Linked DNA regions of Styela clava. The protein of the gene in region 3 purifies or fractionates together with the protein of the main gene of each other region. This does not show direct contact. Links are inferred from orthologs where the notes say so. Each region holds a gene or a part of one and is shown on either strand. Other genes may lie near its edges. The genes, in order: ubiquitin-associated domain-containing protein 1-like, nuclear factor NF-kappa-B p105 subunit-like and E3 ubiquitin-protein ligase RNF123-like.

The links.
Region 1: the proteins of E3 ubiquitin-protein ligase RNF123-like (region 3) and ubiquitin-associated domain-containing protein 1-like purify together in Homo sapiens (affinity purification with mass spectrometry; 7 studies listed by BioGRID and IntAct, counting the BioPlex papers as one, with this or other methods). This does not show direct contact. The link is inferred for Styela clava from reciprocal best matches to the Homo sapiens genes RNF123 and UBAC1.
Region 2: the proteins of E3 ubiquitin-protein ligase RNF123-like (region 3) and nuclear factor NF-kappa-B p105 subunit-like purify together in Homo sapiens (affinity purification with western blotting; 4 studies listed by BioGRID). This does not show direct contact. The link is inferred for Styela clava from reciprocal best matches to the Homo sapiens genes RNF123 and NFKB1.

What each region holds. Positions count from the first base shown.
Region 1 is NC_135260.1:20,338,193-20,349,074, forward strand, and holds ubiquitin-associated domain-containing protein 1-like, read left to right. Parts: upstream 1-6,230; 5' UTR 6,231-6,245; coding exon 6,246-7,400; 3' UTR 7,401-7,531; downstream 7,532-10,882. Other genes in the region: polyribonucleotide 5'-hydroxyl-kinase Clp1-like, read left to right, coding at 3,681-4,979.
Region 2 is NC_135256.1:16,829,482-16,841,399, reverse strand, and holds the start of nuclear factor NF-kappa-B p105 subunit-like, read left to right. Parts: upstream 1-6,848; 5' UTR 6,849-6,987; coding exon 6,988-7,062; intron 7,063-7,526; coding exon 7,527-7,667; intron 7,668-8,023; coding exon 8,024-8,172; intron 8,173-9,096; coding exon 9,097-9,233; intron 9,234-9,903; coding exon 9,904-10,062; intron 10,063-10,603; coding exon 10,604-10,708; intron 10,709-11,048; coding exon 11,049-11,212; intron 11,213-11,596; coding exon 11,597-11,669; intron 11,670-11,760; coding exon 11,761-11,918.
Region 3 is NC_135251.1:24,678,871-24,690,509, forward strand, and holds the start of E3 ubiquitin-protein ligase RNF123-like, read left to right. Parts: upstream 1-7,226; 5' UTR 7,227-7,334; coding exon 7,335-7,395; intron 7,396-7,859; coding exon 7,860-7,938; intron 7,939-9,004; coding exon 9,005-9,099; intron 9,100-10,297; coding exon 10,298-10,423; intron 10,424-11,639. UniProt on the Homo sapiens protein: Catalytic subunit of the KPC complex that acts as E3 ubiquitin-protein ligase. Promotes the ubiquitination and proteasome-mediated degradation of CDKN1B which is the cyclin-dependent kinase inhibitor at the G0-G1 transition of the cell cycle.

The DNA.
Region 1 (10,882 bases), on a different chromosome or scaffold from region 3:
TACCTAAACAAAGTACAGTTTTAAAAATAGTTATTAATGTCAATTTCCATCGGAAATCCAAGTTTTTGCTCGTGGTTATTTACCGTCCTCTAGTGTTTACGCATATTTTGCGAGTTCTCAGGTCTTCTGTTGGTGCGAAAAGTTACTTTGGCCCACAATTTTATTTTCGAGTTTCAGAGGCTTTCGTTCAGTTCAGATATTTTTGTAATGAATAATATGAATTGCTGGATAATACTGAATGATGTTTACGAATATATTTGTTTATTATATGTAACTATGTTCTATGATTATTATTTTTTCATCGTTTATTTATTTTTACAAAACTGTTATGAATCCATAGCGTGAAAAAAAAAACAGATATTTTTGTAATGCGAAGTCTTGTTCAAAACTTTGCTTCAGATTAGCTAAAAAAGGGTAAGAGGTTATCGGGAATACAATAAGGAAATGTGGACACAGTGGCATTTTGTTGTAGGGCAGGGTTGTCAAACTCGTGAGTCTTCGTGGGCCGCATTGCGTTTTGGGAATTGCGCATACAGGCATAGGGCCACAAACAGTTTTTCATTTATTTTGATAATGCATACTTTGAGCATATAGGTTTAGTTTGTAACCAATAGTGCGATGCAATTGAACAGCTGAGTGAAGTTTTGTTATTTTCTTAAATTTTGAATGCCATTTAACTTACATATCAATTTTTGCATTTCACTATTATTGCAGTATTGCAATTTACTTTATTTATTACAAAAAATCATAAATTTTTATGTACAACTATCCAAAACATTTTTGAATAAAGTTTTGATAAGGAAAGAATAATACATACACTAAAATGACCTAATCTAAATATTTTGACCTAAAATTTACAAAAATACTACAGAATAAACTCAATGTTTTACATATGTCCTGACGTTTGGCATCTCTTTTGTGCCATTACCTTACTAATATCAGGCTGAAATGATTTTACAGTACCAACTCGAGTTCACATGATCATCGGTTAATCTGTATCGTTGAGAATGTTTGATTAATTTGAGTAATGCAAAAATATTACGTTCATCATTCAATGTATAGATCAGTAAACAAACAAATGACTGACTTTTCGGACCAGATATTTATCGCCACATTTCCTACTATTACATGGCATAGGAACACATGAGTTATGATTGATATTGAGTTTTAGTATCTAGGTAGTTGTATAATTATATATAAATACATAAAAATTTTCTGTTCGAAGTTGATTATTAAATTTGTCCTATTGACTGCTGAGCTTATTCTGATAATGGTTACTTATATAATATTCATTCATTATATGGAAATGTGACAAATTAAACAATGTGCTTTAGAATTTTGAGAAATACAGAAATATTGCAACCCCCATTTTTTTCAAAAATGCCACCTTCTTCATGTACTTTGCGTTTCATTTAAGTTTTTTTTTTCAAGTATTCTTTTGTTAGCTTTAGGTGTATCCATGATTGGGGCAAATTGAAAACAAAAAATCTTTAAATTTTCCAAAACTACTTTCAGTAAATTGTCGTTTTCTGTTTGAATAATCAATTTTACTCTGAAAAGTTTTAAAAATGAATTACATTTAGATAAAAACTTACAAAATTTCACAATTATTGTTAAGCGTTCGAGGGCCGCATTGAAAGTTCTCTGGGGTCGCATGCGGCCCGCGGGCCGCAAGTTTGACACCCCTGCTCTAGCCCACAATTTTGGTACCCTAGCCCAGGGCTACTCAACTGGCGGACCGCGGTCCGAAATCGGACCTTTCGGGTATTCGATTCGGACCGCGACTAATTCTTTATTTTGGATTATTAGCCCCACTTTTGAAGTTTCCTTTTATAAAATCACTTTTATAGGTTTAAATATATATATGAAAAGAACTCTAACGCCATAATAAACAATCTTATATAGCTAATAATCATTAGTCTGTCTAGGAAGTGCGTGTTTAAATATAATTTCTGGAAAGTCCGGACCCAAATAGTTTTGAAGTTTTGTATGCGGATCTTCGGATAAAAATAGTTGAGTAGCCCTGCCCTAGCCCACAATTTCGATTACCCTAGCCCACATTCTGGTTATGCCAACCGACATTTCTGTTTAGCGGTCGTCACATTTGATTGTGTGGATTGGTTTGGATGTAAAAGAACATGTTATTATTCCCGTAGCTAAATTTCTTAGGTTCCCTTGCTTAAAATCCGGTAATCACTGTAAATATATGTATGATTAACCCTCTGATCACCATGCGATTGTGGGCTGGCAAATTGTGGGCTAGAGTAACCCGTATTTAGGTCTACCTACCATTGAATAATAGTGCTGTAGTCCATTGCAGTATTACAAAGATTTAGTCCATATGAGTAAAAGTGTAAGTGTAATCGATTTTATGAGAAGTAATAGAATAAATATGTACCGTTATAACGGCTCAGCACCATACGATGGTCAATGGCGATGTGCTCGTTAGGGTGATTTGAATAAATAGATCGTACAGGCACTTTATTTTTGATGACGAGGTTCTGACTGAGTTCCTTTCAAAGTTCAAAATGATTGTCCAGAGATGTTTATTGTCAGATTGTTGAGTCAAAAGTTGGTGAAATAGTAGTCAAATAATGGTGAAATAGTAGTCAAATAATGGTGAAATAGTTGTCAAACAGTAATCCGGTAAAATACAGTGCTATTACACAGAAGGGACCAATAATAACTATACTGAACAGGAAAATAGACTTATATTATGTAAATTTAAACTACGCCTAATTACTAATACCGAAAGCCCCCCGATTGAGTAAGATACAAATTGATACGTCCTACCTCCAAGCGGCTCACGCCGAAAGAGATCCCACCAATGCCAAAATGGTCAGGGTTCAATGCCCTAAGTTACCGTTGCCAGTTTAGTTACAATAAGAACAGTCACTGTTTAGAATCATGGCCCCTACAACCGTACCGGTACCCGTACTGTATGACAGTATGATGTCAAAATGCTGAAATGGGCAAACATTCTGACATTATTGACATATGACATATATGACAAACTTGTAAAAAAAATCGCATTGGGAAATGATAATTATCCGTAATTCAAATCTTGTAACCTGCAATAGTATTCACAATTGTATATTGTATTCCTTATAAAAATTTGGGAAATTAGATTCAATTATATGTTACTATGGAAGATTTTGCCCTTGAAAACAAAACCAGAGATGAAAAGAGTAGCAGGGATGAAATATTTTTATTATGCAATAGAGAACCTGAGTTTGTGTCACATATTTTCATGTCTTGTGAATTCACAACATGGGTGATATTTGAGTCCAGTGCATCTTTTTGAAATGAAGTAACTGTACCAAACAATCGAAACACATTTTGTTACGAATCATCACAAAAAATGTCAATTATATCAAAATTTCTACATTTCAGGCCATTTTGCAGTTTGTGTAAACGATCAAAAACCTGGGTGAAATTTTAACGTTTTCAATGAAATGAATGCAGTCCGATAAAATTCAAGTGTCTTTTGATATAGAAAATACAAAACAATTACTTTTACTGCACTTTTTAAAAAATTCATGAAATTCAACATTTGCTTGAAATGGCCCACAAAAAGACTTCGTTAGTCGTTACTCATTCAATTTTGTGTATACAGCAGGTATAGCAGTACATTGTGTTATAAACCGGTAGTGTGCATGATACAGTGATAATACGCTAATATGGCAGTTGCAATGACAGCCTCTGATGAGAAGGGTATTAACAAGGACATGGTACAGGATTTCAAAGTCTCAAAGGAAAATGAACTGCGATTTGAAGTTGAAGCAAAAGAAAGAGTTAAGCTTGAGCTTATGGATGGAATTGCTGAAATCTTTGGTACTGAACTTGTAAGAACCAGGTCATATATATTTGAATCATCGTCCAAAATTGCTGTTTTCACCTGGTTCGGATGTTCTATAAGATTGACAGGCAAACTTGAAGCTGCATATGTTTCAAAAGAGACTCCGATGACGATTTATCTTAACACCCATGCAGCTGTTGAGTTAATGAGAAGGAAATCTCAAGCTGAAGAATTGAGAGGGCCGCGAGTGTTGGTTGTTGGCCCTCAAGATGTGGGCAAGAGCACATTCTGTAAACTGTTATTAAATTACGCCACACGCATGGGAAGAAAACCAACTTTAATCGATTTGGATGTAGGTCAGGGTGGAATATCTATCCCAGGCACCATAGCTGCTCTTACGGTTGAAAGACCATCTGACCCTGTTGATGGTTTTGATACCAAGGTACCACTTGTTTATCATTTCGGACACACATCACCAAATGGGAATTTAAAACTCTATGAAGTGTTGATTTCAAGAATTGCAGATGTGTTTAATGCAAAAAGTGAATGTAATTTAAATGTAAGAGCAAGTGGATGTGTAATTAACTCGTGTGGATGGATCAAAGGACAAGGCTATAACTGTATATTGCATGCGGCTCAGTCTTTTGAGGCTGATGTTGTATTAGTTCTTGATAATGAAAGACTTCACAATGATCTTAAGCGAGACTTACCAGAATTCGTTAATATAGTTCTTTTGCCAAAATCTCCTGGTGTTGTAGAACGATCTCGCGAATTGCGTAGAGATCACAGGGAAGAACGAATCAAAGAATATTTTTATGGACCCAATAAAATATATTTCCCTCATGCGTTTGATGTGAAATTCTCTGAAATCTCAATTTTCAAAATTGGTGCTCCTGCTTTGCCAGACTCTTGTTTGCCATTGGGAATGGAGGAAGACGATACACAAACCAAACTTGTACCAGTGAGACCACAAAGAGATTTAGTTCATCACATATTGAGTCTAAGCATGGCTGAATCCTTGGAGGAAAATCTTGTTGAAACAAATGTTGCCGGTTTTGTTGTTGTAACTGGTGTTGATCCAGAGACTGAGACACTGAGTGTGTTAGCTCCAGCTCCATATCCTTTACCGCGAAGACATTTTCTTATCATGGATATTAGATTTATTGATATAAACAAGTAACATTCTAAATTTAACTAATCTAAAACACCTTGGCTAGTTGTGTTCTGGCCTCAGGTGTTGGAATTTTAGTTGGATAACTACCAGTATGTGAGTATATGAGTGAAGATTACTCATCTATGTCTATTCTCTGAACTCAAGTTCATGCTACCGAAAACAAATAACTAACTAAATCCCATACCCTACATGGAATGGTAACCGGACGAGAGGCCGTGGTTCGCTATATGGTTAAGCCATCTTATCGACTTTCCTCTCCCCCGGGAGAAAATAGATAAATCCTAACCGAACCATAAACAAGAGGCCTTTGTTTGCCACATGATTGAGCTTCCCCATTGACGTGTGGATTCCTGTGGAATATATATGAAAGTCCCATCCAATATAGACTACTGCTACTGGTAGTTGACATCATATGTAATGACATTATATATGACAACGCCTAAATTGAATAAAAGAATACACTCAGTCATTTGCAATATTATGAACTTCCCTGCATTCTGCAAATAAACTTGGCGTCATACTCAGTAAACTGGGGTTTTTTTAAACATGTTGGAATCATTGGTGCTGTAGCAAACAATACAGGTTTCACAAATGTTTTTATTGCCCATTGAATTGCAGTAATAAATAATGGCCTCTGGATTTCATCATCATGATGAAACACATTTAAATAGACTTGATGTATCTGGGAAAAATATTCTAGAACCTTGTTTTTCTTTAGGTTGTAACTCTGTAAAGGTTACATTTGTTTCATTTTCTATTCACATGGTTTTGTTGATAGCTGTTTCTTCACGTGGCCTTTGTGTGACTTTTTAATGTCTTCCTTGAAAGCCGAATTATTGTGATACTGAATTTTTCATCCATTTTTCAAGATAAGATTCTATTTCTATGACAATGAAAGCCTTTTCAGAAAGTTTTAATTGAATGTATGTGGTAATTGATTTGACTGAGAGTTTCAGTTTATTAGTGAAGCCTGTTTTCAGTAATGTTGTTAAGTGACTGCTTTGATCGAATTTTGCAGTTGTATCAAAAGGTTTCAATACAGGTTATTATTGATGTTGTTATCAATCGCTCAATTCATAAAATATTTTAAAAACTTTTGAATATTTTTTATCATATGACTTGAATATGGGTATTGTAACAACAGTAGTATAGGACCATTACTTTGGTGTTTGTGAATGTTCAAAACAAGTATTTCTATCTTCACAATGCTTTGTTGTTTTATTTGTTTGCAGATTTAATAAAAAGTAATATTAAATTAGCCCTGTCTCTAAAATGTATAAAGAATCTGGTCCATCTAACTTTGCAATAAATATCTTCAGTATGCAAGGACATAAAGTACTAGTTGATGTTCAAACAGACATGTCCATCGAATCTGTGAAAAATGAAGCTGTCAAAAAACTTTCAAATATGCGGGGCAGTGGATTTGATAACACTGCAGAATACACACTAGTATGTGCAGTGGGACAATGTAGACGTTTGTTCAACAAAAACACCATAAAATCTGAGAATTTGACTGCCGCTGATATTCTTCTGTTATACAATGTTCAAGAACAAAGTAGTAAAGATCCAGGAGTCCCAACCAGATCTATTCCAACAATGCCAGGAATAAAGAAGGCAACAGAAGGTTTAGTAGCTCGAGGGAAATCAGTCGGCGAAGCTGCGTCATCTGCTAATTCTGCTACAGGCACACTTGAGCAAACTTTTCGTAAGATATTGCTCACTTTGCTTGACCTTTCTTACAAACTGATGTTTTTTGATGAAGAAGCTGATGGATTGTTTTGTTCTAAAAGTAAAACATTGAATCTGGTGGATCCTAGTCTCATTTCTTCACTGACTGCGATGGGATTTTCTGAAGCAATGGCCTGCAAAGCTTTAAGAGTGAATCAAATGGATATGGAAGCTGCCATGGATTGGCTGTTACACAATCCTGAAAGTAGAGAGGAAAGTGCGATGGACACCGATACGGAAACGGATGAAAATGAAACCGAGGATAAGGATGATGATAAACATTCCGCAAAACGAGTGAAAAGACGCCTTGATGCTTGGCGTAAGAAAAATCAGCGTTTACAGCCAAGCAATGAACATATAACAATACTTGTAGGCATGGGGTTTACCAAGGAAGACAGTACTCAGGCGCTTAAACTTAATGGAAATAATCCAAGTGCTGCATGTGACTGGCTTTTAGGGGATAGGAAGGTTCCAGATGATGACCCAAATGATGGCTTAGCTCCTGACAGTGAACTGTATAAAGCAATTGTCAGTAATCCCACAATACATATAGGGTTACACAATAAAAGAGTTTTGGAAGCCTTAGAAGACATGCTTGAAAATCCCTTGAGGAGACACAATTGGGCAAATGATTCGACTGTAGGTTCTGTAATTCTACAAATATTAAAGCTTTATCATAAATATTCCAATTCTGGTTAGCATATTATGACATGAACTTCTCTTGAATATTTTGCTGATATTGAAAATGTCCGAATTTGCTCTTATATTTCTGTATTGACGCTGAGAAAATATAAAATTTTGTTTTATTAATAAATTTAAACCACACAATGCTTCAAATTTAGCTCCCTGTTTAATGGCTTTGGAGTGTATTAGCCAATTATTTTTGTATATCCTTCCCTTGCCATAAGTCATATTTTTGAACTGAGATTATACCTTAGAGTTGTTTTATAACTGATTTTTATACCATGGAGAGGAAATCCGATTACATTGTCAGTGTCAAACCAAATGGCAAGCCCACGACCTCTCGTCCGATTATCAGTTCATGTTAACGGTATTCATTCGTTTCAGACTTATACTTGCGGTGTCAAGCGTGTTTCTAATGCTCAGCACGATGCGTCATACCGCTGAGTATTTGCTCGGACCACAGGTAAGTAATATTAAAATACCTTGTGTTCTCTTCATATTGTTAGGTCATAGTCTTAAGGAAATCACACACTATCATTCTGTAGCTTCTTACATTCTAGAGGTTGCGTGTGGGTGGCCGTTATTTAATGGTTTTCTATGGCCTTGCGCGACTTTGGGGCTGCATGCAACCTTGATCGAAGCGACTTCTATTAATAAAAAGTTGGAGTGCGGAAGAGACTTGTGTATGATTCTTTTCTCATTTTCAATCTGCCGTTGTTAAATACCCCCCCAAAATAAACTTCAGACACTCGTGCTTATTTTTGGCTCTAGGTCGATGGCAACCCTGCCTATAATCGATCGAGTCCATTCACTAAATCAGTCGATGAAACTTGAAGGTGGTGCGTCTCTGTCCCATTGTATAAGTTTCACGTTATGAGATAACGAGAGTCTGTTACCCCTAGGGATGGGACGAGTCCGGCATTACAGAGATTCGACGAATCCGAGTAATAGGTCAAGGACTCGAATCGAATCTGCCGAGTTCGTGACGTCATAATGGAAAAGCAGAAAAACGTGTTTTTGACCATGCTACAGCATCATGCTCTCACAAACATACGTCGTAGCTCATATTTTTTGCCTAATGGTCCCGCATACAGCTGTTGAATCATTTTAAATATATATTTTTTCTCTTTTCTGGCGGCCATAATACAAACGTAAACGTGGGTCAATGTGCGCCTTGGCTGTGAACTGGATTTCCAGCCCACCTTGCGTCAATTCTGGGCGGCTATTCAGAAATTCTTACATGTCAATATGAAAAATAAAAAGCTTTCGACTACAATACTTTCCCATAATTCCAGATATTTCTAGCCGTAAATTTACTATGTCGTGTGCGCAATTGGTAGAGAAATGCCACTCGTCGTCAATACAATGTGGTACATCTGCTTGCAATTTAGTAGTTCATATAAACGTTCTGAAACTCTCCATGATTTCCATTGCCTTTTTAGCGAAAGGATTGCACGCAATAAACTTGATTTAATTAAAAGAGGTATTGATGAGATTCCACAGTGGGTTGATCTAGGGCATGTTTTATTTTTACGTGAATCAAAAATATTGCAATAACACATATTTTATTGTGTACCACATGCATACCAAAAAGGATAGATAGTTTGAAGGCGACTGGCGCAACATCATTGTTATAAGCGACCAATAGTTTTTAACTTGCGTTATATTATCCGGATATCTGTCGTCGTTTTATTAGGAGTGTTTATAATGCACACGAGGGATATTGTTACAGATCCAACCTTGAATTTTAACTAGTTAAGGTATGTAGTGGGATTTATAGAGGCAAAAGAACAAACATAGGCGTAAATTAGTAAAAACAGAATTGATTATAGACTCGGTAAAAATGACGTGGCCTCGAAATCGAATCCGAGTCCAAAAATGCCTGGATTCGACTCGAATCCGGATCCGAATCCCGGCCCACCCCTAGTAATTTCAATGCGAATATACGGTGCACAAACAATTAGGATGAAATCGTAATTGGCGGTTACAGACAGGAGATAATAAAAAAGATTTTAAGCGCGTTGAAACTCGTGTCACTGAATTTCAATATTGATACTCGTTGATGATTACTCCCTTATATTATAACAGTGTTTCTCAACCTGGGTCTAATGAACCCCCGGGGTTCGACAAAAGCACTGTGAACTTTTGTATTATGAAGTATTTCTATTTTCGAGCCAATTAAATATGTAAAAATAACTATTATTTGAGGCAGATATTCAAATTTCAACATTCAGACAATTCATATAATAGCTTATTTATGTGTAGTATTGCGTAGATAAATGTTTTATAGGACCTGTCAATGAGAAACGTCACGCGCTTTTTTAGATGCTTTCTGACCTCAAAGTGTCTAAGGTTGTTATTACTAACCTCGGGGTTTTGAACCTGAATATTTGCTTAAACGCCATGTTATTTATAACCTACTAATAAAACTAGCGGACCTTGAATATTGTGTATTGAACTGCAGGTCCTTTCTCCTTGTTTACTTTCTACTTCGGATCCGTATGTGGTATTTGCCACAAGGATGCTTGAATGAGATAGTATTAAAGTGACAAGTGAAAATAACATGATCTCTTTCAACGAAATAGTAAGTTTATTTGTGAGCTTTCGTCAGATCGTGGTCTAACTTCTTCAAACATTACAAGATATGACTTAATCAAACAGCAATAATGATGACAGCAATTATTGTAGTTTGATTAAGTCATGGACCTTTCCCCGACCTTTGACCCCCGAAAAAAATTCTTCCTATACTTTACCATTGCAAAATTTTCGGGGCTATTTTAAGAGCGCTTTTGCGAGTTGGCGCCTGTAAAACGGGGTATGTGTTTCAAACCATCATTATGATTCATCGCACACAACAATCTGTTTTTTAAAAGTACCGGTAAAGAATTTTAGCCTAGTCTATCACAGCTATTTCTACACTAATTTTTTATTACTGCAATTCAATTTAAATTCATAGGAAGACAGAGTGATCATTGACTTATCTGAAGTTTCCGAAACACAACAGAAAACTAACGAATAGAGTTTAAAAACGCGAAAACGAGGTAATGTTTACGACCACGTTTGAAAATCTGTCTGAGTGAGAAAAGTGTCTGAGCGGATGCAAGTGGAGCATTGTTACGTCACTTTTCGCATCTTGCTGATCGGCCAATGTCACGAAGTAAACAAGAAAGTCGATGCTCGGGAAAAGGTCCATATCTTGTATTGTTTGAAGAAGCTAGATCATGATCTACGGAAAGCTCACAAATAAACTTACTATTTCGTTGAAAGAAATCATGTTATTTTTACTCATACTAATAAAACGTAGCTCAATTTTACGAACAAGTTATTAAGTGTACAAAATTGATTGGGAAATTAGGGCACGTTTGAATTTCACTAAATGGTAGAATTTCCAGAACCGAATATTTCAGGGCGGAGCTTCAAGTAAAAATATCATCACCCGTCGACGACTTTAATATAGCGCTTAGCCGGTTTTACATATCGTATCTTTGTTTCTGTGA
Region 2 (11,918 bases), on a different chromosome or scaffold from region 3:
CAAGTCTGACATCCTGGTCGAGTCCAGCCTTCACTTTGTCCTACCAGTGCAATGGGACCGGTACAGGTGTGTGATGAGCAACTGGGTCGGCGTCTGATTTGATCATCAGTTTCATTGGCGGCCCTTCTATCATGGGCAAAGGCTGGTGTTCACACGTATTAAACGTGCTGGCTCGGTAGCGTTCAATGAAAAAGTCCTTGAGCTGTGCGAGGTTGTTTGTTGTGGCTGGAAATGGGACTTTGGTGGGCAACGTTGCAGGTAGTTGGCGCGAGGACAATCACATTGCTTTTGCGTGTGGGCGCTTGTGTGTTTCGCTTCCCTGTTGCTATTTGCGAAGGATTTGTCCAGTGAAGCAGCGCCAGACGCACAATAGATGCTTTGTTTTATGTCGCCTATTTTGGGAAAGTTGTTAGAGATCATTCCCAAGGCAGTGCAAGCTTCCCTGCTGATAAACATTTTATCGGTGCTGTCAGTAACGTATGTTATATGCCTAGTCAACAACATCGCCCTTTCCATCATTTACAGGGACCGCAGTGTCCACAAGTGTGGTCATATGCCGGACATTCCGCTTGCCTGATTTTTGGAATCTCCTCTTATCTCTTCTGTAGGAACTGTTACGCGCAGCTTCCGCACCCATCGAATCGAACAGGCGTGTAGCTGATCGTTTTCCAGATTTCTCAGTTTCCACGAATAGGAAGACTTCTTCGAGTGTCATGTCCTGATTTCTGTCGCCAAAAAGATCGAGTTTTATTTCCTGATCAGCTATGCCTCGCGAGAGCACGTCCTGTAAGATAGCATCTGTATAATTGACAGTTGCTTCGCAAGAAAGACATTAAATTTGGGAATTTGCTTATTCCGGCTTGTCCACGTAGGCGGGCGCCAAAAGATCGGACAGTCTCATCTCTGTCTTGTCGCATGTTATGCAATGCCACTCTTGCAACCATTGTGTTTTCTTCGCGGACTGCCAGTCGTTTTATGGCAGCTATAACGTTATTTTCTGATTTACCTGCCAGACTGCCGCCCGCTGCCTGCGTGATGTTTTTTCGAAGGGCTTCGTCGCAGCATTCCAGTAGCTGCATTACTCTATCGTTACCCTCTATTTTCCTTGCGTCTACATATTCCTTCCATCTCGTTTCAAAGTATGCCCATTCCTCTGATGTTTGAGCCATGGTGATTGTTGGCCTACGCACTTTTGCAACCGGCGATGAGTTGTGGGTGATGGAATGTGCTGTTATCAAGGCAGCCACGATGGCATCGCTTTGGTCTGGTGTTTGGTATGTACAGCTTTCGATGGGGCAACGGACGACGGACATGATGAATGCAAGCACTGGTACTAGTAAATAGTCACGTTAGCCAAATGTCGATAACTAGATATTAAGCAAGAGTTCCGTCATAGACAGGATGGACAGTCCATTTGTTACACTTTTATTAGTAAACAATGACGGAACTCAATAATAACTGAAATGAAATAAAGAACAAGAGTTAACATTAAATCACACACTACACAGTATACATGAATATTCACTACATATGATTAAGCCGTCTTGGCGACTCTCCTCTCCTCCGGGATAAATACGTAATTCATAGCTATGTAAAGTACTAATACTAAGCCGTTTAATGTTAAAAAAATCAAAAATGTTCTAGCTCGTTGCAGCAATAACTCGTAAGAGGACACGGTCTTCTTTTTGCCGTTTGGGACTGAGCGTGCTTGATTGCGTGTGGTGGGTCTCCCTGGTGGCGTATGCGTTTAAGGGTTGCAGATCCACTGTGCGACGTGGTTTTCCATTCTTTTTTGCACAGACTACCATTCGGTGGCACCAAGTGACTGGATCGCCAATAGGAACTGTTTTCATCACGCCAAGTCTGACATCCTGGTCGAGTCCAGCCTTCACTTCGTCCTGCCAGTGCAATGGGACCGGTACAGGGGTGTGATGAGCAACTGGGTCGGCGTCTGATTTGATCATCAGTTTCATTGGCGGCCCTTCTAGAATGGGCAAAGGCTGGTGTTCACACGTATTAAACGTGCTGGCTCGGTAGTGTTCAATGAGAAAGTCCTTAATCTGTGCGAGGTTGTTTGTTGTGGCTAGAAATGGGACTTTGGTGGGCAACGTTGGAGGTAGTTGGCGCGAGGACAATCACATTGCTTTTGAGTCTGGGCGCTTCGTTACACTTAGTAAACAATGACGGAACTCAATAATATTTGAAATGAAATAAAGAACAAGAGTTAACATTAAATCACACACTGCCCAGTCTTCATAAATATTCACTACATATGATTAAGCCGTCTTGGCGACTCTCCTCTCCTCCGGGATAAATACGTAATTCATAGCTATGTAAAGTACTATTACTAAGCCGTTTAATGCTGAAAAAATCAAAAATGTACTAGCTCGTTGCAGCAATAACTCGTAAGAGGACATGGTGATACCGATGTGAATGTTGTCTATAGATAGATACAACACACGATTAAGTCGTAGTTTGTAGGATACAACGTTGACTTAACGTGAGAACGTGTTGTCGTTTCAATGTGACTCGTATTTATACATATAGTTATACTCTCGTAACAATGATTTTGGCCGGTGTTAAAAATCAACACCCACGAGCCAGCCAGAAACACAGCCCAAAAGTTATCTCCTTTTGTTGGTACTTTCCGTGTTACTAAAAATAGAATCACGCAACGATAGCACGTGATTGTTTTCAGCCAATCATAATTCGGTTTAGAGGTGGAACCCCACGGGAAGATATAGGGAAGAGGTCTCGGTACTGCCTTGGGTAGTCGACCTGGTGTTGCTTTCAAAAATGGACTGGGTAAGCAGGTAAGGGGCTGTAGACGCAAATAGACATTGCGTTTACAGTTTTTACTCGACCTGTTTTCGCTTAAACGACGGTATTGGTACTAGACTATTTGTTCATCGTCGTTCAACTAGACTGCAAAAAATACTTCAAACTTTTAAATACTGAAATATGAATCCCGCATCAACTGTCAGACTGTGAAGTGCTAGAATTCGGATACGTAATCTTTTCTGACAGTTTTCGGACAACACTTCTGTTGTTATGATTCTTAAATATTTATTTTTGCGCTGAAGGATAAAAAGTTTTTATAATATTACTGTACGTATTATGGCATGGTACAGTGGTAGCAGGCCACAAACTCTCTGAGGTCAGAAGTTGACTAGACTGCCAGAATACTGAAATAGTCAGATAGCAGGATAGAATGTCTGTATGTAGTAGGGGTCTTCTATACTGCTATCTGACTCTACTGCTCTATTTATATTTATTAAAGATCCATGAATTCAATGTTCAGAATATGCCAACACTTTTCTGTAGTGCTGTAATGAATACCGGTATTAATAAAATTAGCTTATGTTTATCAACAGAGAAAGTTTTTTTTTGCATATTTTCTGGTTCCTTTGCTTAGAACTTGAACACACATCATTGCTCCAGTGCTCAGTGGCTCAAAATTTAGCAAAACAACTTAATGCGAGATTTTGACAATGAGTTATTTCTGTATTTGTATCATTGCAATTTAAAGAATCCCCTTTTGTGAGAATCCCCTATGTCATAATCATTAGATTGTATGAAGAGATAGGTTGGGGCAATTCATGCGGCAATGAAAAAATCAATTACAAGGTTATAGTGTGTTTTAGGTTATTGTGTGCGAGGTTATCTCTCTGTCTGTGTATTTTTTCCAAGTTATGTTGAAATTTCGTGAAATTTGGCCCGAGGGCCAAATGCTAGCTTGTGCGAAGTGAACAACACATGCCATAAGATTAATGACCAAAATTTTTGCCTGCAACTACTATAAAGCCTATGTTAAATAAATGGACTGCCAGCGATTTCACTCAGGTATTTGTATACGGTAATCTGGCCCTCCTGTATTGAAGGTTGCATACCCCTGCTGTATCTGATTGATTGTTGAGATGATAAGATTTCCTGTAAACATCAAGCAAACAATTTTAGCTAATTGTTGGAATGAGTAGTACATTTTTGATGTTCTGTAAGAAAATACAGGTATGCATAGTTAGAAGGATTCAAGAGTTTGCAACTATCTTGTTGTGATACAAAAATGAAGAATGTCTGCTTAAACAAATTATTGATTGGATCAATATTATAAAGAACATCAGATATTTTGGATGTCAAATTATTCTTATATTTATAAGCTGTCCTCTACAAACAATGACACACGTCAGATTTATCCATATTGTTCATGATGTCACTGTAGTTCCTTTTCAACTATTATTGTTTATCTCTGGGAAATTTCTGTGTGAAATTTCACAATGTAAATGTGACCAGTTCATATATTATGTTAGCGCATAGGGTTTCAGATGAGTCCATTTTTGTGTCATAATATGTAGACTTATATAATAAAGAAGATATGTTTGTTCATCAAAATTAAATAATCCTAGCTACGAAGATATAAATTTAAAAACTATTCAGAATATGTGAAATTATAGTGTTATTATTTATTTGTTCATATATATATATCTTTGCAGACTTTGGAAAAATGTATCGAATAACTATATTGTATAACATTTATTTTCGTAAGATGTACTTTTAAATTTTACAATATTTTTTAGAAAAATTTTCATAATCAAAATTTTTCATGTTGGCAATTTGACATCATTCTCATGACTCAATGTGTAGTGTTTAAGTGTAGGATCAGACTTTACAGCTGAATATGAAATGTTTGCCACTCTATATATTTATATATGTTTTTTGCCATGGACTTTCATCATATTTGTTAAATTTATAGGTACTCCTGAAGTATGCGCACCAAGATGTCGCATAACCTGAACCCTAACCTGGTACACACCTGAGTTCAGGTTGTGGGCCATCTTGGTACGCATACTTCAGGAGGTCCAATTTATATTTATATACCGTATGTATTTGTTTAAACTAATTAGGTGGCGGACAGAATGCTATAACGTCAAACTATATAAACATAGACATTCCATTCTATAGCCATATGGAGAAGTTATTATTGATCACATTTATATATATAACCTTTTTCTGGTATCACATTTTCTTTCCCCTGGTGAACCATTCTTTTATTTTTCAGAAAAAAATGAGTAAAAATATGGCAGTCACCTGAAAATATGATGTCATACTTTCTGTTCAATAAAGAGTGCTTCAGTAGTATTTCATGACTTATTTATTATTACTTTTTCTTCTTGGGACAAATATACTTGTAGACATTGTGATTACCTCAATACCATAGGAGATTATCAGGCTATTTTTATGACAGAATGAATGATAGAAGCATAGAATGGTATGACCGAAGAGATAGCGATTTTTTTAAATTGCTTTCAGCAATTTATACTAAACTCAAATTTGTTAACTTTAGAGTACATCATGAATTCGAATTAAAAAATGGGGCTTTAGAATACTAATTATTCAGATAGGGTAATGATTATATTCAAAATTCAAAAATATCTAGTAGTTTGCTCAAAAGTTTTTCAGAAACCCCCATCTTGAAGTAAAATATAAATAGATGAATTTTCAGCAATCCTAAATTTCTACCTTTATAGATCCCATATTATTTCTAACTGTTTTTCAGGCTTCCTATCTTAAAAAATTTGATGCCTCTGGCATCGTATTTTTCACAATCATGACAAACCGTCTGAAACTTTTGTATCAGTGCGTTTTGTGATTTAAAATTCTGCGTCCTAATTTTTGCCAGTTTTTGGAGAGATATTATTTCATTTTGAAGACCTGAAAAATTTTCGCCTAGTTATGTATTCTTGTTTAAATTTTTTTTATATATCTTCATAAATATTACAGCATATAGGGTACCTGATTTAAGATGATAAATAGAATGTATTATATTATAACTATTATATTAGCTAATAACTGTTTAAATATAATATATATATAGAAAATAAATATATTAAAAAACTAGTGTTTGAATTCCAAGTTTTCATTGCGGCGTAATTGTGTCAATTTTCGAAAAATTGTCAATCTGAATCTATTGCATAATTTATTTCATTTAACTTGTGTCCTGAATATGGTGACCGTACATTTGAACCCATGCGTATATCCACGGGTTCAATCTATATGCGGGTGCTATAACCCATGGGTTAGGGTTAGTATGGGTTTAACTATCCGTGAAACAAAAAAAATTCCATAGGTGCAATAGCATACAGGTGCAATTGTCATGGGTTCAAATGTACGTGGGTTCAAATGTAATGGAACCCCTGAATATATATGAATATTTATACATTTCAGTTATAAGACAATTTCTTTGAGATTTAGAATTTATTTAGATTGTTTCTGAATATGTATCTCCGTTATTATTATAATTTAAAAATGAATGCTTTTTTATTGCTTGAAGTATTACCATGAAGTATTGAAATGCACTAACAAATATCGCCGAAATAAAAACATATCAAGTGTAGAGCGTATACTTTATTAGTAGTGGGTGAAATAAACATTTTTTTAAAATATCTTGAAGTAATATTTACTGGTACATAAACTTTTCTTTATTTGATGTAAGTTCTTCAATTTGGAAAAAACATCTCTATAATTTTGAACTCAAGAGGTATATAGATATTGGATATATACCAGTTTTGAATTCATTTATTAACGTTTCCTTTGAGTATGACGCTATATGTATATGGACATTTTTAATAGAATAAGGAAGTGCTGTAATTTGTTTAGTGTTCAATCGAAACCAATGAAATGACTCTTGCTCTACTTGTATACCATATCTCACTTGGTGACAGGTCTATACATTCTCCTCATTAGATGCCTTTATTTGAATGTGGTTTGTCCTAAGGTGCAACACCTAAGTATCCACCATTTTGCAATTTGTACTATTTTACCTACCATAACTATTATCAGTAAATTATAATCCTTGATTTTTCAACAGAACAATATTATTGTAAAGTAAATATATTGGTCGTCACTACGTTAGGATAATTACAATTATTATTACAATAATCCTATAAAATATTTTGTGGAAATTATATGAAGGAAAGTTATTCTTATTAGATGTATCACTCTCCTCAACGAACACTACCTTTTCAACAAAAGTACGAAAATACAATAAATATGTATCCGGATGAGGTATGTGAATCTATAAGAGTATTTAATATCTTCTGATATTTTCAAAACCATAACAATAGTGAAGTAGTTATCAAAGATTTAAACTTGCTTAAAAATGATCCTGCGTCCGAGGATACAGATGGACCATAAGCAACATATTCATTTGACATTAATGAACAAAAATAAAAAGTTTGTTATACATAAAAAATATAACCATGTCAATATGAAGCTGTTCAAACTTGGAACAAAAACTATTTTCCCAATAGCATTTATCTAGATTTATAAAAAAAAATTGTCATTCCATGTGAGAACTTTGAAATTGTGTGTCATGCGGATTTTAGCTTCATCTCTTATACCAGTAGTTTGAATTAAAATACTATTGGTGATATCATGATAAATTTGCTCAGAAATTGCCTCACTCAGTTTACTTTACTGGTCAAATAGTAAGTTAATGATTTATCAAAGCGTTGCTTTTCTTCTTTCAGAGTCAGGAACCGTTTCTTGACATTATCGAACACCCAAAAGCGAGAGGGTTCAGATTCCGGTATTCTTGTGAGGGACCATCCCACGGTGGCATACCCGGGGCTAGTAGTGATAAAAACAAGAAAACATATCCTGCAGTTCAGGTATTTTTAATGCCATAGCTACAGTCAATAAATCCAATGTTATAAATTGTGTGGGTGTTTGTTGGTATGTATAAGGAATTTAGTTTGTAAACAAAATAGCTGAAAAATTTCACTACCTAATAAAATCATGAATATTGTCAAATATACTTGTATTTTATGATTATGATCGGAATATCTAATTTTAAAATATGTGCAAATTTGTGATATATAAGTTTTAGATTATTGTGTGTTATTTGATATAAACATTTCCATTTTAATGTCGGTGCTATTTGATGGCCCAACAGCTAAGCTTATACTATCTATTTATTTATAATTGGATTTTTCTAATTTTTTAATTGAATTCCTAACATTATCAGATAAGAAATCACTCAGGATATGCAAGAATTGTTGTTCAACTTGTTACAAATGAAGAGAACCCACGACTTCATCCTCACTCTTTGGTTGGAAAACAATGTCAGAATGGCATCTGTACAGTTCAGTGTGGACCCAAAGACATGACTGCCACGTAAGTTTCTCTCTTATTTCTCTTTCACTCATTTTTTCTTTCCAGACAGAAGAGCTTTCTCTCTTTTTTCCCTCCCTTCTCTCTTACATATTTGAAGGGGATTTTTCTAGGTGTAATAAAATGATTTCGAAACATGGCGTAATACATGACAGGCCGACAGGGTATAAATATCAGGAGTGCTGTTTTGACAAGCATTGTTCAATTTGGATATCCTAATAAAATCATAGGAATTCATTGCTTATAATTGAGCCTTGGATTCAAAATAATCATAGTCTTAGGCAAGATCATATTTGAACACACCAAGTTAAAATTTAAGACTCGAGTTATAGTTACAATGAGGCAAATGCATACAATAAAAAGAAGTATGTTCGAAGTATTCAAATCATGAATCATTTTGGCCAAAGACCAGAATTATAATAAGCATTTCACAACGTTCTACAGTACTTCGTCATGTCATTTCTCACAAATAATATAAATGCAAAAATTCAATAGGCCTAGCCTATATTTGCTATCAAGTTGTTGTAACTAAATAAGAATATAATTTGATTTATCTTTTTGCGATAAATATTTTAAAGATAAATTATGTAAATTGCCATATTTGGATATTTGTTTTCTAAATGCTGACGGAATATCTTTACCACACCTCATGCTGTGCTGATAGAATGGGGTTCAATTTGAATTGAAATGTTGTTTAATTTATACATTTCATTATAAAATCTTCTTTCTATTTCAATACTTTAAATTTAGCATTTGCTCAAACGAATATATAGATTTTTTGCCTCAATTATCGATTTTTTCGTTTAATATTCTTTTCTATTTATATAGAATCAATTATTAACAGTAAATTTTGCTTTTATGACATCCTCAATATGACCAATTAAAATTTATTTTTATATTAAAAAAATTTGCATTTTTATGATTCAGATTTCCCAATCTTGGGATACAACATGTCACGAAGAAAAATGTAGCAAAAATTCTTGAAGAACGATACTTGGCTGCCGAAATGCAGCTCTCGTCCCTCAATGAAGGATTGACCGCGGACATTCAAAATGCTATAAAGGGTACGATCTCCTTCGATTCATTTTTACCTTAAATGGCTGTTGATGACATCGAAGTTGTTCATTTATACCTCGCCTGTTATTAGAATCAGGGACATCAGAACAGCTTAATTATTTAGTTCAAATGCTCAATGCTTCATGCCAGTTGTGTCTGATTGCCGCTTGCATTTCTCATTGATTATGAGAAATCAATGTTTGAAATCAATCATGATAATATCTTAATTCGCTTCATATCTGTGTATAAAAATAACTTGAGCACTGGCATGGTGGGAATTCCCATTTCACAATGACTATGAATTTTTTAGGTCAGTGTGTGGTGGCGGTGGGGCTTAGTTTTGTTTTGGAAACTCTACATCTGCAATTTGTATTTGCTCACAAATATTATATTATTATAAATAATAACTGAATTGTTTGGTTTCCTAAAATTGTGTTTTACGATTTGAATGGAATTTGCCCATTCGATCCATTCATGAAATAGTCATGATGAATGCCAACTTTTTCTTGATAAATTGTCCCCTGCTGAAAAGAATTGTAATAAGACTGTTTCTCACATCGTATTTCAGAGTATTTTATTATTTTCTGCATTGCAGATATCTAATGAAGTTTCTGATATTACTTTTGGTATAATTTCAAATATTCTGCAATGAGTTGAAATATCTTAAATCTTATTTAGATGAAGACAAACAACGCATCAGGTCTAAAGCATCTGCAGAGGCGAAGTCCATTGACCTCTCAGTCGTGAGACTCATGTTCATTGCCTACCTGCCTGATAGCAATGGAGCTTTTACTTTGATGTTGAAACCAGTCATTTCTGATGCCATTTTTGACAGCAGTGAGTTCTTGTTCTGCGTTTTAATTATATTTGACCATGAATTTGAATTTGATTTTATTTAACATAATTTGAAACAGTTGATCCAAATTGATCATTTTTTTTTTATATTTGTATATTTGATAAATTACTGATGTCAAGTTTTGTGGATTCACAACATTAAGGTTTTCTTATGAAGTGAATCCAGTTCGCATATTTGTAATCTAACTTAATTAATTACCAATTTAGGTAGGTATAACCATATTATGATCCACTATTCTAAATTGAATCTAAAATAATATTTTTCAATAATAATATATTATAAATTGGGCCATGTTTCACAAAAAACACACAGAAGTTGATGTATATTTAATAAGAAATGCAGGAAAAATTATATACAATTCGAAAAATATAAATAAGGCTTTCTTATTCAAATAGGGAGATTTCAATTGCTTAAATGCTAATTTTTCACCCAAAATCCTAGAAATAAGAATTTTACTGACAAGCATTGTTCAGACTAAATCCTTTGCTTACCCAAGCTTAAACTTATGGACTTTTTGTTCAGAGTCACCCAATGCAGCGACATTGAAAATTTGTCGTATGGATAAAACTCATGGTGCGGCAAGTGGAATGGATGAGATTTACTTGTTATGTGACAAGGTCCAGAAAGGTCAGTTTTTCAAATACTACTTAAATGATTTATCAAAATTTACAAAAAGATGAAGATGGTACAAGTCTTGGAGAAATTACCCATGTGAATGAGGCATTTGACAGCACAGAATTTCATACCGGTAACATAAAAAATTACCATAATCTTTTGTGTTTATCTGCTCAAAGGTGGTGTTAAACAATGATTAACTTCACGGTAGTTAACTTAACAAGCAATAATAAATCTATTTGCATAGATTGGTATTTGTGCTTAGTTTCTAAATTTTTTTATATTTTAGTATGTTGATGATTTAGTATATAGTATAATTTCTCAAATAGCCTAATATATTTTTAAACTACAGATGATATTCAAGTTCGCTTCTTTGAAGAAGATGAATATGGAAATGATGATGGCTGGGATGCTTATGGTGATTTCTCGCCTACTGATGTACACAGGCAGTTTGCAATCGTATTTCGAACACCAAGATACAAAGATGTCAGCATAGACAAGCCTGTTCAAGTGCAGGTATGCTGTGTCCTTTACCCTTCGAAAATTCTCAGAAGAATTTTCTTATTTATAATTGTAAAAGTTGATATGCATGCCGGGGTTCTAACTTTTAAGAATTTGGTCTAGACGAAATTTTAAATAACCGCTATTCAAAAAAATGTAATTTGAAAATTGATGTAACCAATATCACATTCACAGTTGATGCTAGTCTATTCATATGAAGTTTTAAATTTTGTAGGAAAACACTTGAGTGATAGTTCAAAAAGCTCTTGATATTTCAGTGGATTCCTGTTACTTTTTCAATGTTATGCTCTTTTACTACTAAATGGTTACGCGTGACCTTGCTTGCTCGAAACAAATTCTTCCCCTCAAAAAATAAAAATATATACTTTTATGGTGCAGGTTCAACTTAGACGTAGATCAGACGGTGAAGTATCAGAACCACGTACTTTCACCTACATGCCTGTTCAAGATGGTTTGTTTTTTCTTATTTTCAGTGATTTTGTAACTATTGAATTCACATTTTTAATAGTTATTTTTCATTTAATATTTACTCAACAAACCAGATCCTGAACAGATACTGAGGAAGCGTAAAAAAGTCAGCGCACATTTTGAAGATCATGTTGTAGGCAATCAACCCAATGGTAACGCTGGACATGCACCTATGGGTACCTATCGCCAGTCAGGTGGTTTCGTCTTTCAGAGCAGTGGAAACAACACGGGT
Region 3 (11,639 bases):
GATCTTCAGAATAGCGAATCATCGATTCTTGAATTCCTATTTCATTTTTTTTGTTTTTCAAGAAATCGAGATAAGTTAGTAATTTATTAGATATTATTTTTTAAATCAATACGTTATTTTCAATTACTTATGTTTTACGTCACTCTGCTGTGTGCTATGGAACGCTATCTAAGCATACCATAATATTATCATAAAGTAATGAAAGCCTTGACTCTCCATTAAGTCACTCATCTACCATACCTGTGAAATTAAGATATAATAAGGTTTTTGAGCGATTAACTTTTGCTTTAGCCAAATGAGAATAAAAATACCAAATTGGGTTCTTATTTCGTCATGTCGCATCAGTTCTGCTCATTTTATCACATGTTTCATGTCACCCATTTCATTTATTATTATTATGTTATAATGATACTTTTAATAATAAAACACTGTTCATTTCTCGTCCATGTGTGACTTATGTATTAAATTCATTGTGATGATGCGTGAAGAGAAAATGAGACATTCGATTGATTATTTGTTATAATAGGCCTATATCTCGATAACTATAGTCAATCTAGTTACGTGATACATACTGCTATTAAAATACTGCTCTAGAAGTGTGTGTACCAATCATCAAAAGGTAACTTATTTTGTTCGCCTACTTTACATCAAGTTGCGTAAAGGGACTGAAACCTATTGGCGGGGGGTATATTCACTTAGCTAACACAGACAGTCCCAGAACTCGTCATAGAGCAATAAAATAAGGAGAATTGGAATAAAATTATGGCATAACCCTAACCTGGTACACACACTACGAGAGTATCAAAAATTGTTAGATGGATCAAAAAATTACGTGATGAATAAAAGATAGAAATCAGTGCTAGATCGCCAAAGGTATGTATATGTGAGCGATACTAATGGTAGACATCAGTAAAAGATGACCAAAAAGGTAGATGAAATTAAATGTGTCGGCCTATAGTACGGCAGTTCTCCTTTGCATAAAAATGAAGGACCTACCTTTAACGAAGCTGGCACCTCTACTATATATATAAATATATATCTCTATATCTCTGACAATTTAAAATCATACCAATTTTCGTCATTAGTACCTGTTATATATATCTACCTTTAAAGGTGAAAGTTTCTTGGGCGATTGCGCTGAGCTCCCTTTCTAATTGTCCCACCTTATACAAGCTTTCTTCCACTTTACTGAACTGTTATCAATTTCCTCCCAACTTCTGGCATTTTATCCAAACATCTTGCCAATTACAACAGAAATCAGTCTAAAAAAATGCAATTCTCTTCTTCGGCTCGGAATTCCTATAGCAAAATAGTTCGACACTGAACTCAACTTAGAAAAAAAATTAAATTTTATTGGCAAAAACTCTAGCGTAAGCAAGCCTTAGAAAGTTAGGAACGTTTAAATGAATTTAATGCTTTTTGTAGGAAGTTTTCATTTGCCAACTTTGAAATTCTAAATTACGACTCACGAAAAGTTTAGAATTTTCAACTCCGGAGGTTTGTAAATACAACTCCACTCGGTTCATGCAACGCCAAAATAATTGCTTTGTTCCATGACAAATTCACCCCGTGACACAATTCTGTTGGTGTTTTTAGTTGTGTGCTTATTATGGAAATGGAAAGAAGTAAAACATGTTGAATCTCTGTCAGGCAATGCGGTTTAAATATTCCAACCGAAGTTAGCAAACATCCGAAGCACCGAGTTGCAAAAATATTCGGTCGAATAAAGTGACTGAATAGAAAAGCGTCACTGTGAAACAAGAGAGCTGTGCTCAAATATATGGACATGTCACAAAGTCTCGCTATTTTTTATTCTGACACATGAAAAACGAATCTCTTGATGTCCACATAAATTTTTGAAATGAGTAAAAGTAATAGCCTTCTGGCAAAAAAATCAATCTTCAACCACTGAAAATCTCAAAGCAATTGATCCAGTATTCGAAGAGAAAAGCGATTTCATCATGACGAGGGAGAAGAATAATACTAACAAGAACAACAACATAATATTGAAACGATCGTTATGTACACTGACGTGTCAAATGAATAAAACAGCAATATTCTGAGTGAAATATTGCTTCACATAGTAGCCTACTCAGAGAAAATTTGAGAATGGAATGCAATAGCTTTCTAGCGACTCCTTTCGTCTTGAAATGGAAACATTTGAAATTAATTGGCTTATCTGTAGATTGATCCGCAGGTCCATGTCGTGTTCAATATACGTATAGACAAATAAGTGATGGAAACAATCAAAATATAAAGTGAATCGCATAATAATCAGCTGTCGAATTCAAGGCACATGGACAACCTTTATCAAATTGAAATATTACAAAGAGCAATACTCCATACATATATTGATGAAATCCATTTGGTTGCGCAATCTTCCCAAATTAATTAAACTTAAAAAAATTAATCAAACGTAGAAAATAGTAGGCGCAAATAGTACAGGCAAATTTGAAAACAACACGTAATAGGCAGGACTTCCATAAAATTGAAACCAAAAGTAAGTACGATAGTGAAGTCGTATTGCATGCAATAAGTACAGTTGCACATATTAATCCCCGTCAGTTATTTACCGAGAAACAATGTTTCATTGTTCGACACAATTTTAAGTTATATTTCATTGCAACTCGGGTCGAACATCGCCTTTACCTGCAAGGATAGGATAGGATTTACATAATTATCTCGGGAGAGGGGAAAGTCGATAAGACGACTCCACCATATGGCGAACCGCGGTCTCTCGTCCTGTTACCATTCCACGTCGGGCATGGGATTAGTTAGTTATTTTCGGAAGCATGGACTTGATGGTGGAGGAAGCCGTAACCGACCAGCGGTTACGTGAACCACCTTACAGCGACGAGCGATCCTCTCGCACATAACCATCGCTGCATGGGATTCGAACCTGTGAACCCACGCAGAGTAATCAGAGGTGCGGTGGCGAGCGTGTGAGCCACACCGCCGCGCCAAGAGCGTCTATTACGATTCAGGCTAATTAAGAAATTAAGGTCAATGGGAAACGTGCTTCTTAACTTAACCGCGAGAACAGTTCTGAAGCATTAGTCCAAAAACAAACGATTCAATGCAACGGCCAGTATATATTAAAAGCCGGTACATTCCCAACCCGTACGGACATTTTCACCCAAGGTAGGCTACATATTTATTCATGGACATTTGCACAGATGGACCTCTTGCGTATATTTGCATTCAGAGTCAATTACCCTCGCGAATATTTGTGTTTCGGCCAAAAATAGTATTTGGCCCCTACGTTTTACAGTCATTGCAGGTTATAATCCCATATTTGCGGTATATTTTCAGCGTAATCAAATTCACGTTGGTGTCCAGCTAGTATACACTGGCAATTATACCGTATGAAAACTATCCACAAATGAACAACACGTCACAGTTAACCAACCCATTGCACAAGAGAAGCGTGCTTCGATAATTATCTTTTTTTCGTAATTTGTGTTCGATTGATTTTTTTTACCCGTTGAAAAAAAATAAACTTGACTTGGTGAAAACAAAAATAATCAAATGAGATCCAAAATTGAGAGTGAATAAAGACCTCGACTTTGCGAAAGCGAGATCAATGTCAAAGTTGTGCACGTTTGCAACACTTGTCCTTATTGTATTGTTGATTCATGAAGATAACTAGGCCTACTGTTGTTTCCTTACCTGTTTCGAGATTTTGCTTGATCTGAGTTAGTGAATGAAAATCCAAATTAAACGCGTGCGAATTTCGAATCCACCTCTCGGCGGAGAATGGCAAAAAAACGCGTTTACTTCAAAAACTGGTGTTTGTGAATGTAAAAGTTCACGGGTACAAATATTCATCGGTCAAATGTTTGTGGGTACAAATGCGGGCTCGGCGGTGTGGCGCATCGTGCTAAGGCTATTTGGAATACCCCCGCCACAGCTCCTCTGAATACCCTGCGTGGGTTCGAATCCCGTGGGGACGATTGCCTATGCAAGAAAATTGCTAGCCTCGTCTCCGCCTTGGGGTGGTTCACGTAACTGTTGGTCGTCTAAGGCTTTATCCACTATCATGTCCATGCAAATACCTGGCTAACTAATCCCATATTCTACATGAACTGGAACATGAACACGAACCGGACGAAAGGCCGTGGTTTGCCTTTCGATTAAGCCGTATTATTCACTTTCCTCTCTCCGGGTTAAAAAGCTAAATCCTATCCTGTATACATACTGCAGGTGAATATCTTCGTGGGTGCTAATGAAGACCTACTCGTGCAATATGTGCGCGGGTGAAAAAGTCAACGGGTGCAAATGTATTGATTGCAATTTTCTGTGGGTGCATATATGCACGGGTGCAAACGTTCAATGGTGCAAATGTTCATGTACATGCAATCTGTACGTGGTTACCAAATGTATGGGTACAGATCTCCACGGATGCAAAGGTACGCGGGTGCAAATGTACGTGGGTGCAGTTATTTTGAACTTTGCGCTCCTTTTTTAAATAAAGATTTTTTATGTGTTCAACATAGATCGAAAATGAGAATAAAAGCTTAAAAGCATTGTCAAAATTTTCTGTAAGGCGCAAATTTCAAAATAATCCCAAATCGACAGCATTCAAGCGTAAATATTAAATTAAGTTGTACATTCTGGAAATTTATAGCAGATAGTATATATGATTTTTTCTAACAGCGATGACAAGTCACAATTCAAGCCCTGCTTATAGAAGATTTTTAACTAATTTCTAGAAAATTCCTATTTGTCAGAGGTGAACCTTAATTTGCAGGAAAAATGAAAAGTTTGTTTATTCCATCGCAAGCACTTGTACTTCTGAAATCTCTGGCGAAATCGTCGTAACAGTATTTAAAAAGAATGTTTGCGATTTTTATGAGAAATGTCTATCGTATATAGAGCTTTATGACGAAGCCCAGGTATTGGTGATGATTAACGTAATTGTTGAAGGTACAACAGCCCGAAAATTTAATACTATCGTGTATGTTGTTCGTTAAGTTTGGCCGAATCCTCATTTAATTGGGCTTGTATTTTTTGTGTGCATGCTGGTGGGCAGGCACATGAGATACTTCATGTTTTAAACTTTTCTATAGGTTTTGTTTGCCCTCCAGAATTATCCATTTTTAATTTATGTTTGTTATGAAGTTTTCGAAATAAACTATCTATCTATCTAATCAAGTGCGTTTTGTCCCAACAACAACTTTACTTTTTCAAAACTATCACCGTATATCAAAATGCCCACAACAGTACCAGGCTGGCAGTGATGGAAACATACCACAATTTTCACACCGCCGCCCCCAGAAAAATGTTCCAATAGGCCTACATACGAGCGCCTTTGATGCTTATTTGGAAGCGTTTTTTTCGAGTGGGGGGTATAACGCTTTGATGCAGACCGCTTTTATTGTTTCATTACCATATTTCGATTCCACATTATTAAACTATTATTTACGCCGTTTCTACTCTCTAGTGTCCTTGTTAGCTGATTCTTTGTCGGTTGTACAGACACTTTGTACACTTTTATAGACAATTTGGTGCAGACAACCGTGTCTTAACTATGTATAAGACGGTAGGCCTACTGTATAACTATTGTGCTACAGCGACACTGCGAAGTTTGCGACAGACAGATACGGTTGGTGCGGAGCAAACAAATTCTGAAATTACAGAACCATTTTACCGTTTTCGCTCAGTGTTGACGTGACTTTTGATACATCGAACTTCAGACTGGATAGATCTGTAGATATTATGAAAAAATGATGTTTGAATAAAATACATTGTAAAAAATTAAGATAGGCATACCGGTACCAGCATACGAACAATACCGGTAGTCAATCTCATTCGAAAGAAACCAATTATGCCTTTGACATTCAAGTTGCATATCCGGCATTCCGGTCGACATAATTCATGCAGATTCTGCTAAAGTGTCAAGAGTTATTAAGAATTCAATATTCAGATATTTACATTTATTTCAGTACCGCAGTACCGGTAATTATTTTAGGCTATGCCCCAATTCCAGAATTCCTCCAGGCAGCCAGGACTGCATGATGATACAGGGATACGGTACCTGCCGGTACCGGTAGCTCGTATGCAGCATTACCAGTCAGCCAGTAAGGAAGTCTGGAAGTAAGTGAGGCACACAACTCGCCCACATTTAGACATGGACACCTCGCTTACCGACAGGGTTTAGAAGATATGATTTACATAGGAGGGTTTAGTCTTTAGATTGCAGAAAGGAGGATTACATACCCGGACTGCCGGAGAAGGATTTACATACCCCTGTACCCGGGTGAGAGGAAAGGCAATAAGACGGCTAAATCATATTGCGAACCACGGCATGACCGCCACTGACCCACTACCACACACGCCAAGGATCACGCTTTAAACCTGTACGCTTTAAACCTTACGGTACTTGATGTTTCTTTTGCTTTCCCGATTCTATAATTAGTTTTATTTATTTTGTTTTTATCAATTATTTTATTGTCTATTGCTGATTATGGAGTCGAAATGAACTCATACTTATCAATTACCAGATTACTGTAACAGTATTCCTGTATTTTGTTTATTGCGTATTGGTATGTGTTTCAAATAGCTGAATAGTGCCAGAGTGTTGATTTTGGTTTTTGCTGCAATAAATAGTGCTCTGTCTCTGTGTTAGAGTTGTTAACCCAAGATGTGAAATTATCGTAAATATAGTTTTCAAGGTTATAGAATTCGATATAGCAATTCTGATCTTCCACTTTTGACACTGTCTGACTGTCTTCAAGTATTGCTGAAGATAGTTTACAATTTTCCTTACATGTTGCACTTATAATGAATTTTTTATGTCCGAGGGTTACATACCTACTCAAACAGGTACAGAATTATTTGTGATTTACTGATTGAACAGCATATTTTCTGTCCAGCATTTCTGGTTTCCAATATTCTATCCGGTTTATCAAGACTACCTAAAATGACATCATAATATGCAGAGGCGAAGGGAAATGTCATCAATGATATGTCATTATTAGATTCAATACAACTTCAATACAGTCATAATGAAGTTACTAGACACAATTTTAAATGTTTTAACAACTTCTTGAAAGAAAGATGTGAATTAACAATTGTATTATTTGTCATTTATTTGGTTGCCCGCACGTTTTATGTGATAAATACAAGTGAATTTCGTCATGATTGTAAAGTGGGTGAGCCACACTAATTCTACACATGGATCACCAAATTTTCAGTTTAGAATTCATATTGAACTAAACTATTTTATTTACATGTGAACAGATGGGTTAATATATTATTCAGCCTGCTTTTCATTTTGGTTTATAACCACAATCTTTATTCCATCTGAGTCTTGACTGCTGAAGGGTAGAATAATGGCGACTTGCAGTTCTTTTTCTGGGACATCATTTGGGAAGCTCAGGGAAGCAAAAATGTGTAAGTATTTTTTGTGATCGATAACTGTACATATATGTGTATATCGGATTATCTGAAACTGGGCCCTCAACCCTTCTATGGGGCCACAGAGCGGTTGTCTGGGGGCCATGAGCGAATGCTTCCACTAGATATCATTTGGGATGGCTAGTAAGTAAATTGATTGTGATTTGTTTCATTATTTGACTGTAAAGTATTTATTCTTTTTCTTTCCTTCGTTGACTTTTTTATCATTGGATATAGGATATATAGGATTTATATATTCATCTGGGGAAGAGTGAAGCCGATTAGATGAATAAATCATATGCCGAACCAAGGTCACTCGTCCGGTTACCAGTCCATGTCGGTTATGGGATTAGTTATTTTACATGCTGTGACTCATAATCCACTTTAGTCTAGGAATAATGTTCCTAATATTAATCATATGGTCTATAATATATTTTTTGTGTCCTTCACTGTTATGACAGGTCCACCCGACAAGTTAAATGCTATTCTAACCAAAGTTTTTCCGAAGAAGTTCACCACCAAGCCATCTGGATTAAAAAGGTAATTAATTGCCATATATTATTATTTCATTGTTTCTTTCTTGTTCATTGGTATTGGCGGTAGTAACATCCATTTACTTTATGAAACAATCCTTCATAGACGGAGAAGATTCACGTTTGAGTTGTGAGTAAATCACAATCGTAACCTCGAAACAGCGAAAGTCGCGACCCGTAACCCTGTATACTAATATATACCATGTGGTGCTCGCTGTCTACCAGATATGGTGTATTTTCTTTATATGACGAATTTACGCATTATTTGACAATATACCACGGGTTGCTCGCTGTCTACCAGATATGGTGTATTTTCTTTATATGACAAATTTACGCATTATTTGACAATATACCACGTGTTGCTCGCTGTCTACCAGATATGGTGTATTTTCTTTATATGACAAATTTACGCATTATTTGACAATATACCACGTGTTGCTCGCTGTCTACCAGATATGGTGTATTTTCTTTATATGACAAATTTACGCATTATTTGCCCTGTACAAGTCTCTGCGCAAGCAGCTACTGCTTGATAAGTGGCTACTTTAATACCTACCCCATTTATTTCACCCTGGGTGTGGTGGTGGGCACAGGATTTGATCCAGAGATATACTTGGTACCATCATAGAAAAATATTAACGCTTTAATTTAACCACTTGGTCACTGCACCCGCAAACTCCCGTATATCAAAATTAAACTTTGAATCTGCAATATTTGGAAAATGACTGCGTTATAGTCACATTTACAATTTTTGTTCTCATGTCAAGAATCAGTGACTGGAACAAATATTGTTAATTGCAATTATACTGTTTCTTCTGAAGAAGTCATTCTATTCATATTCAGTTCAGCGGTTTAGTTGTGTACAACAGTGAAAACACTTTTTGTATAAATAATACAGAATTGAGTTGATATACAAATAAAATCATAAAAATATTCAACTATGTTTTACTTTTTTAATCTACAAGAATTGAGCATTATTGGAATTCGGATAGCTGATTAATATTACCCAAAAATATATATGATAATTGTGTTATGACAATTTCAACATATAAATTTCTTTTCACTTATTATAGTAATGATATGTTGGGATTTCACAACCTGGAAAAGCACATCACAAGTACCTTGCTAAACGCAGAGGAAGCTAAACCAGAGATGATATCTTCTTCAGGTAAGGGAACTTTCCAAACAGAGTATTTTCCAAATAGCGCAATATAAATCTCATCTTAAAAAGTACGCTATATGTATTATGTTATGTATACTATATGACAATATGCAAATTGCAGCAAAATCATGGTTTGCAATGTATCTTATGTAATATGATTAAATTATTTGTGGATTGTATTCAAATATTCAAACAACTGCCATGTTCGATCGAAGATTATTCAAAGTGTTATCATATATTCAAAATTCTTTTCATGCTAATGATAACCTATGCACAAGAATTGAATTGTTCTCTTATAAAATAAGCGTATTCTTAGGCAGACTTGAATTTCATTTGACGGATTTTTTCTTCCATAATCTCCAGGGAATTTTAATATTTTAGTGTTGAAGAATATGACATTCACAACTTGACATAAACATGACCATATATGATCCTATCTTAGCAAGATTTTTGTTATATGTTCTTTCCCTTTGTTTCCTTCCAATTTTGCATAATTCAAATTTGCACCAGTAGTTAGTTAGAGCCAGAGATCTCATTTACCGAATAATTGACTATTTCTTACTCTTCGTTGTTATTCATCAATTCCCTAAAAATCTATCAAAAATAAAAAAAAATTTAAATTTCGACTCGAGTCACAATTTCTTTACAACACTGGTTCACTTCACCCAGAGTTCTGCGAGCTCAGTCCGCGAGGGTGTAGGTGTATATTCAAATTCGAAAGTTTATATTATTATGTGCATATTGTTATTGTATTGAATACAGAGGTATAATATAAACATATAATAAATGATTTTAATGAGAGTTTCGTTAAAGACCTTCAGGGGTTCTGCTCCAATTTGTTTGTTCACATTTTTTTGGATTGGCGATTTTTATTATAATAAATAGAGCCCCGGTATGTTTCTTTGGCGTTCCGCTACACCAGAATCCTTGAAAAGCACTATTCTACAACAATGGTTAATTTTGCTAATAAATACTAATTTCATTATACTACACTACAAATATTACTTTTTTACCAGTAAATATCCGTCTTGACTATTTTTTTAAACTTGAGTTCTATTTTTAAAGCTCTTAAGTGTTCAATCAAATATTCGATCAAATGAAGCAAGTCTTGTTACTTAAACTTCATCAATTCACAAATAGGAAATACCCTGGGCATTTTCATCTACTATGCATCGATTCAAGCAATTGTAAATATTTTATTTAGAAAGTAAAGCTGGATCGAGTTCTGGTAGCGCTGGTACGAAGACTAGGAGTTATTTGAAAGGTATTTTTGGTGAAAAGAAAGTGGATCCAAAAGATTCTGAAAAAGATAAAGGACCTGACTTTGAAAGTTAGTGCTTCCCTATTTGTGTATTATCTATTTCGATTTCAAGTATCTTACGGGAATATTTTTTTTGATACTCTCGAAGGATGTGAACCAAGAAGGCGGATACTCGGACGTAGTATGTGTACCAGTACCAGGTATAATTTCAGGTACAAATACTACGGGAGTCACTTGGCTAGTCTTCGAACTCGTAATATCTATTCGTAACTCGTAAATAAGGAAAATTTAAATATAATTATGATCCAGCCTAACCTGGTACACATACTACGCTCCGGTATCCGCCATAGTGGTTCACATACTTCGCAAGTACCTTTTTTTTGTTTTGGTAAAATCATGTAAATCTTAAATTTTTTGAAACAATGAAAAGATAACAATTTATTATTAAATTGACCTTTTTCAAAAAGCAATAATTCAAATAGCCTATTATTAAAACTTAATTCTGGGAACAATCCCAGAATTATTATTTATTTATGTGTAAGACTAAATCATTGATGATTGTCAATAGACTTATTATATCATTCAATTATCACCTCAAACCAGCTAGCTGCATTTATTAACTTGTAGGCTTAGCTAATATCTGTAATTGAAAAATACTCGACTGGTGCTTGAATGTTGAATTGGATATTTCAGCTTTCATACGAGTGAAATTTGTGGGTTACATTATTTGTGTGGGAGATCGTATATTGCTGTCATTTTCATTAGCTATACAGGATCTTCGATGGCATAGTTTGTACATTTTTTAAAGAATAAATAATTTATAATGTGGTAGAGTTTGTTTCAAATAAAATTGTGACCTGTATTGTCGTCTTCCACGCTAGCTTATTTTAGATCTTCAAAATTCGTAATTTTGACTAACTTTTTCAAGTTATTTTTTTATTACATTTTACGGATTTAGAACTTTTTTATTTGATATATAACAAGAGTTTCAAGACCAAAAGGGTGAATGTTGGAATGTTGAAAAAGTTTTATTCAAAAATGTCGTAAAGGAATTGCTGCCTCTTATTTAAAGCTGTTTTTAATAATAGTTTGAAGGATTATTAACTTTAATATTTCAGTAAAAATTTACAAAAGTCTGAAAAAAAAAATAGTTTTTCCTATTTTTGAAACGGCCAATAGCTTTTCTTATTTTTAAAACAGCTTTCGCCGTTTTGGGTTACCATAATCAAGTTTTTTTCCCCCATCATTCGATTAAATACTTTTCTTGAAGACTTACTTTAGCTTT